Linked DNA regions of Elephas maximus indicus. The protein of the gene in region 2 purifies or fractionates together with the protein of the main gene of each other region. This does not show direct contact. Links are inferred from orthologs where the notes say so. Each region holds a gene or a part of one and is shown on either strand. Other genes may lie near its edges.

The links. The genes of interacting proteins can lie anywhere in the genome.
Region 1: the proteins of WDR44 (region 2) and VAPB purify together in Homo sapiens (affinity purification with mass spectrometry; 4 studies listed by BioGRID and IntAct, counting the BioPlex papers as one, with this or other methods). This does not show direct contact. The link is inferred for Elephas maximus indicus from reciprocal best matches to the Homo sapiens genes WDR44 and VAPB.

What each region holds. Positions count from the first base shown.
Region 1 is NC_064843.1:10,890,873-10,894,620, reverse strand, and holds the start of VAPB (vesicle-associated membrane protein-associated protein B/C), read left to right. Parts: upstream 1-1,061; 5' UTR 1,062-1,293; coding exon 1,294-1,351; intron 1,352-3,748. UniProt on the Homo sapiens protein: Endoplasmic reticulum (ER)-anchored protein that mediates the formation of contact sites between the ER and endosomes via interaction with FFAT motif-containing proteins such as STARD3 or WDR44.
Region 2 is NC_064846.1:38,685,332-38,689,079, reverse strand, and holds the start of WDR44 (WD repeat-containing protein 44), read left to right. Parts: upstream 1-1,362; 5' UTR 1,363-1,792; coding exon 1,793-1,869; intron 1,870-3,748. UniProt on the Homo sapiens protein: Downstream effector for Rab11 which regulates Rab11 intracellular membrane trafficking functions such as endocytic recycling, intracellular ciliogenesis and protein export.

The sequences.
Region 1 (3,748 bases), on a different chromosome or scaffold from region 2:
GGAAGAATAGTACAAACAACACCCATGTACCTGCCGTGTAGGTTCAACCAGCTTCTTCTATGTGTGTGTGTACCAGACACCACTTGCTGTGAATCGACTCCGACTCACAGTGACACCATGTGTGTCAGAGAACCATGCTCCACAGAGTTTTCAGTGGCTGATTTTTCAGAAGTAGATTGCCAGGTCTTTCTTCTGAATGTATAAGACAGTAATAAGAACACACATTTTATGTAGCAAACATTCTGTAATAAAATACAAGTTCGATGGCAATAATGATGCAGAATGTTCCACTTTGAGGTCAAGCTGATCCCAGCAATTTTTAAACCTATATTTACGTGTATGGTTATTTAATGAAAGGACGTCGCTCCACTAGGCTGTACTATGAAGCAAGAGGGTAGGAACTACGTCAACTTTCCTGACCTTTGTATCTCTAAATATTTGTTGCATAAATAGCGTCTATTAGCAAAGATACAGCACAGTGCTTGGGACATCATAAACATTCAGTGTATAAAAGCTTTTATTTATTATAGTGGCTGTTATTACTGAAAGCATTCAGCTGTCTGGCACAAAATAAGCAAGCAATAATTGGTCGTTTATTATATTTATAATTATTAGTTACGATACGTTACAGCGCCTAGCACGTATCATTCACTCATAAACATCATGTTTATAATAATAAGATGAATAAATAGTACTTTCATTATTGCTCAAAGCCTTTAACAGTGCCTGGCACTAAATAGGCAAGGGAAAAGTGGAGTTTATCCTTATTAATTATCATTATTGAATAGAGCACTTAACGCAACAGCCGGCCCCCAAAAGGCCCTTAAAAAATGAATAGTCTTCACCCAGACTGTCATTATTTCTGGGCAGCCCGGAGCGGCCCCGCCTCCAGGGCTGCACGAAGCCCCGCCCCTTGCTGCATGGCAGCCCCGCCCCCCTGCGCCTGCGCACTGCTGTAGGGGAGGGCTCCGCCCGCAGCCTCCCTCTCCCGCCCCTGGAGCCGGCGCAGGGTGCCGCTTCCCGCCGCGTGCGTGCGTCGCTGCGTGCGTGCGTGCGTGCGTGCGTGCCGTCAGCTCGCCGGGCACCGCGGCCTCGCCCTCGCCCTCTGCCCCTGCGCCTGCACCGCGTAGGTCGCCCCCGCCCCCACGCACCCCGTCGCGACCCCCGCCAGCGCCCCGCTGGCCTGTTTTTTTTTTTTTTTTTTTAATTTAAAGGGGGCGCAGCATTAACGCTTCCCGCCTCAGTTGACTTCTCAGGGGTCTCCCCACCAAAGGTGCCGCGCCGCCGAGGAACATGGCGAAGGTGGAGCAGGTCCTGAGCCTCGAGCCACAGCACGAGCTCAAATTCCGAGGTAAGCCGCGAAGGCCCCCGGGCCGGCCGCCATGTTCCGGCCAGGCCCGGCCGGCGCCCCGCGTGGGCTGCGCGGCCCCACCCCAGTTCTGGGGGTGCAGGCCCGGCGCCCCCACAGCTGTCAGGAGCCGCCTGGGCCGGAGAGGCCGCGCGCGGGGGCCCAGGCTGCTTTGCCGCCCCGGCCTCTCGGGGCGCCTCGCCTTCGAGGCACTTGTCACAGTTGTCATTGTCACTGTTATCGCCTAGTTTAGTTTGTGGTCTGCTCTGGAGTGTAAGCACTCTTCACGAGATTGACCTCCTAGGTCTCAGCCCGGATGTCCCCAGCTGGTGACCCAGCTCTCTGTTCTGTGGTCTGCAAGGCACTGGTCACCATCCAAACTGCCCGCTAACTAACTTGTTTTCTGTCTTCAATGCTAGAAGGGAAACTCCATGAGGACAGGATTTGTCATTCATCCCCTGTGCACTCGTTAGGCGGCCAGTCGCATGCTGAGCAAATGAATGAAAGGAACTTCCGCAGGAGTTGTGATAGGACATGGCCCAACTTTCTTTCTAGTGTCTTTTTGCTCGCTTATGTCCTGCAGCTGGGGCAGTGCTGACAGAATGGTTGGATCCGATTTCTCCCCAAGGCTGCCTGGAGATGGAGCTGAGTAGCACGTGAGTTTGTGGCGAGCCAGAGCCTCGGTTCCTAGGTGCAACTTTCGTCTTGCTCACTTGTACCTTTACATTTCTTAGCTTTTTTTGGACTGTTTTCGCCACCAGAATACAAGCACGTGAGACAACAGGCACCTTGTCTGACTTGCTCATAGATTCTTTCCGCATGTGTTGAGCTTTTAATGGTGTGGTGGGCGTGTGCTTGGCACTGGGAGACAGCGGTAAACAAGATGGACAAGGTCCCTGCTCTCAGAGAGCTTACATTCTAACTAAGGGAGACAAACACACCAGCAAACAAACTCACAGGATCATTGTGGATTATGTTAAGTGCTGTGAAGGAAATAAAACGGGCTGACCTGTTGGAGGGACACTTTAGATTGAACAGCCAGGCACCACTATATCACCAGCACCTGGCCCACAGTAGGTACTGAATAGGTGTTTTTGGAATGAATGCTGGCCATAAGCACCCAGTGACTATGCACTGTTAGGAAGCAGTGTAGGGTGACTAGCCCAGAGTTACCCAGTTGGCAAGCGGCACATTCAAACCCAGACTTCAAAGCCTGCATTTTTCATTGTTATGCTGTGTGACCCCTGGGAAATACTCCAGAACTGTGACTGTCACTTTGCCTCCTAGGTACACAATCTGAAATGACTCCAAATGGACCTGAAGGTTTTCCAGTTAAGATGAAAACAGCAAAGCAAAACACAAAAACCTAGCACAGGTCACAATTCTGTGACAGTACTTTGGTTTGCATGATGTTCTCATGGCCTTCTCCTGGAGGAGCTGGGCTGGGGAAGGAATCTGAGTGCCTGAGTGGATGTGGTGAGAGATGGTTTCCACTTGAGTCGTCTGAAGTTCTCTGTCCCGGGAAGCCTGACTCGGTTGCTCCTGTGACTTGGTGTGTTCATTCGTTTAGTCCACAAACACTTACTGAGCGCCTACTATGTGTCAGGTGCGAGGAGAAGCTGAGTCACATGAGATGTACTTCTTGCATTGGCCCCTAGCTCACCACCCCAGTACCTAAGTTTAGGGAAGGGGTCAGCTGAGCCATTTGATAAGGAGGTCAACTCCTAGAAGAGGTATCATTTGAGCTGAGTTACAGAAGTCGAATGGAAGTAGGCTAAAAGAAGTGGGTGGGGACCATTTGAGGTAGAGGGAATTGCATATACAAGGTGCAAAGGCTGGGATGACTGGACCCCTTTGGAGTGCTGCTAGTAGTTCTGAATGATAGCTGCAGAGAGCATTTGTTGGAGGTGCAGGGCCAAGTGGAGATGAAGCTGGAGAGTGGAAAGAAGTTGGACATAGCGGTGTTCCAGTTACCCTCATGGGCCTCTCGTCAGACAGTCCTCCCTGGATTGACCCCCAGCGGTTCCAAGCCCCCACCCCAGCACCAACACTGCACCAATGCGATGTTATGGAAAGAGGCACCGATTTGAGAAAGTGCAAGTTCCAGTTCTTTTGACTTTGGGCGGACCTCTTCACTTGCCAAAATCTGGAACTACTTTTCGTCAATAGGGATGATGCGCACGTCCTACAGAAAGCTTCGTTGTTTAGAAACAGTTATCTGTGGCCGTCCAGTGCTTTGTAAATACAGAGATTGGTGATTGCATCTAGACAACTGGTTTCATGACTTCATCTTTTCAGTGCTGTTATGACTGTTCAGTGCTTTATAAATGCAGATATTGGTGGTTGTATCTAGACACCTGGTTTCATGACTTCACCTTTTTAGCGGTGTTATGACTATTC
Region 2 (3,748 bases):
ATCAATCCACAAAACCAACAGCAATCAAATACAATCTATAATTAAATGCCAACCCATGTCCCTGGCCCCACTCATCTTTTCTGCCGCCATTTTGAGTAACAGCTGAGGCTGCGCAAATCGCTCAAAGTGGCTGACAGCCGTGATGTCAGTGGGAGAAATAATTGTGCTTCACGATCATAAGGAAAGTTAATGTAATCATTTTGAAAGTCAATGCCCCGTTTAAGAAAGAACATCTTGGTCTTTTAAAAAGTACCTTTTTATTTTCATCACTGGACATTGGTCAGTGGAGGAGCACAATTAAGTTAACTAGGTGTTAGCCTTGCAACTGTTTTCTGCTCAGTACATTAGTTACCATTTGACTGACCCACATCTTGGGCGTATGTAAAAATTTCTCTCACATTAAGTGTGGGCAGCGACAGATATTTGTAGAAAAAAAAGTAACTGGAGGCCTTATACTGGCCAAACCCGTTGCCGTCGAGTCAGACTCATAGCGACCCTACAGGACAGGGAAGAAATGCCCCATACGGTTCCCAAGGAGTGCCTGGTGGATCCGAACCGCTAACCTTTTGGTTAGCAGCCATAGTTCTCAACCACTATGCTACCAGGGTTTCCTATACTGGCCCAGCTCCAGCAATAAACTCATCCTAACTCCGTGGAACGGGCACACTCCTCGCGTGTCTCTCATGAATCTTATCCTCTGGCCGGCAGGACTGTATCTAGGGATCTCAGTTAGAGATCTTGTAGTAGATACCACCAAAACTCGTTGCCGTCGAGTCCGTTCCGACTCATAGAGACCCTATAGGACAGAGCAGAACTGCCCCATAGAGTTCCCAAGAAGCGCCTGGTGGATTCAAACTGCCGACTTAACCACTACACCACCAGGGTTTCCAGCGAGATATTCACGTAACGCAAGAGGTGGTGGCCCTGCCTACGCCCCAAGGTGGGATCTTCCGGGCTTGAATTAAGACAATGTAAATGCAAACCAAAAAGGCCACGACAACATTTCCTCATATATAAGAGAAATTTTAAAAACAGACTCAAAATCATCCCTCTTGAAATGCCTCCCTTTGGAACTGCTGAGTAAGTACGTAAAGCAACTCCGCAAAGCCCTACCAACATCGGTGCACACGCCCTCAGAACCCGGGCACCACGTTGCTCCTGCGCAAGTTCTAGACTCCTCCCTTATTGAGGCTCACCACCTCCCTTCCGGGCTACTTCCGGCCCCTCCGAACGCCCTCAACGCGCTTGGGCCGTTTTGATAGGCTTCTGGGGCAAAAGTAATCCGAGCGTTGCCTCTCAGAACTGCCCCCGCCTCCTCTTCGCCACGCCCACGCCTTACCGTCCACCTCCCGAAATCTCGCGATGGTAGGTGCGCGTCGGTGTTTTGCGGACAACCAGCTCTCCCAGCTGCTGTAATTGCGGCTGCGGGAGAAATTGGAGCTGCTGTCGCCGGCGCGCCCGCCCTCCCCCACGGAGAAGAGCCACCGCCTCTTCTTTCGTTCTCCTTGTACACCTAGCGCCAGGAGCGGCGGCGGCGGCGGCGGCAGCAGTAGTCCCCGGACCACCGCCGCCTCCTCAGGCGGACGCTCTCCGGGTCATTCCCGCAGCCCGGCAGCTGAGGGCGGCCCTCTGTCCCTAACCGACTCTTCACTCCAGATTTTCTGCTCCCTTCTCATCCTTGCCCGGGACCCACCTCCCCAGTCTCGCCGGGGTGGAGGACGGCAAGGAGGAGACGAGAGTCACCCTCTCTTCAGGCGGCGCCGGCCCCCTCACCCGCGGGTGTGTCCTATAAATGGCGTCGGAGAGCGACACCGAGGAATTCTACGATGCCCCTGAAGATGTGCACCTAGGGGGCGGCTACCCCTTAACGTAAGTGATTGGAGTTACGGCTCAGAAGCCGAGCATCCCCGTTTCCTGGCTGCTTCTGTGCCTCATATCTCTCTCAGGTCCCGCTGCTTCCCACAATCACACTCCGGCACTTCAGACCTCAGACGTGGGGCTCCTTAGGGAGGGTGATGCAGGGGAGGGGGAGTTACCCACCTGAGTAACCGCGCCCTCCCTCCTCTCCCTGATGAACGGCCCCAGGGGCTCACTCGGAGCCCTTTTCTTGGCTTGCCCTGCTTTTTGCGAGGTGAGACAGCTGACGTGCTTGAGAGCCAGCGATTTGTATTTGCAGGGTTTGGGGTTTACCTTTCAAACGTCCGTTTTGGCCTCGGAGACCATAGATTAAAGGGGCAGTAGCAGGAGTAATTGCGCTTCACATTTTTTTTTTTTCCTTCCTTTTACGGCTGACTTACCTATTCGTTTCAGAGGTAGCTGTAACTCTCCCCTATTTGCTGTCCTCTTTTCCTTGCAGAGGAAGAAAAGGAGTGGAGGAAAGGTTGGGTATTTACTTAGTAAAGTCCTCCAGCTGATGTACTCTAGATCAGCAGTGTGTTATTAAAATAGTACCTTACCGTGAGGCAAAGGAAATCGAAGACAAGGTCCTTATCGTTAGGAAGAATGCGGTCTATATGGGTAGCCGGAAAATGTACACAACCGACTACAGACAAACAAACAAGTGCTGAGTAATCTGGTGGTTGGTAGGAGAGCCACAGCTTTGTGCTCTTTATCTAATTCTGCAAGATGTTTTAGTTTACTTTTGATTAACATGAGAGACCCTGAGTAGGAAGTACAGTAGTTGGAATGCTTCGCTTGACTAGGATTTCTGGTAACCCACTCTTTCACTTTTCAAAGTTGAAATAATGTTGAAAGCGATTTCGCTGAACTTTTATATGGACTTGTGTGGTACTAGAGGCAATGAAATATATTTTCATGCTGTAAGAGCTTGAGAATTGGAAAAATTTGTATTTTAACGTAAGGCACTAATATGGTTCCAGGAGTTCACCTGCCTTCAATTCTCCTGCTTCCTTGCGGAAGAAAAGACCCTGTTTGATGCAAATAAAGTTGTCCCTACATTCTAGAAGTAGGTTCTAAAATCTAATGTATGTGACATAATCTAGACCAAGAAAAATTATCAAAGCGGTCATAAATGTGCATTGGTAGATTACAGATGTGTGTGTAGCCACCAACCTTCATATTATGTTGGATTTTTGGGTGATTTTGAGATCACTTTCGCCACCCTTGAGATGACACTGAATCTCCTTCAGGTTCAACATCAGACAAGTTCATGGCGAGATGGTAGAGGATAGAAAATACATTTGGTTTCAGTGTTGCTGCCTTCAAATTAAATTTTGTTTTTGTGGTTTCCAAAACTCTCAAAAGTAATGAACTGTTAATTCAGGTTAAATGATTGACTTTTGTGTGTATGTATGTGAGATGGAGGGAGAGGAGGAAACAACAGTTTACTTGTTGTAATCAGTTTAGAGCAACATAGATATTGTTCCTTTACGTTGAGTAAAATAAGTTTAATTTTGAATGACAATTACATCCGGAGCTGTGTGAATTGCCTAGTCCAGTGCCTGGCACAAAGAGAGTACTCCAACATTCCTTTCTCCTTCCTTTCTTGGAATTAGCAAATTTATTAACTTCACACAGTGCTTACTTTGTAAGTATCCAGAACTTGGAGCTATTTAATTTATCTAAACTGGATGAGTCATTTTGATAGAATTGATAGTCACTTCTTCCCCAGTGGGATAATACAAGTTCTCAAGGACTTGGATCCTTTGATGCTGGGTGAAAAGTAAAGTGTGTTGGGACCCGGCTTTCTAATTTTAATTCTAACCTGCCCAAATACTGAGTATGTTGA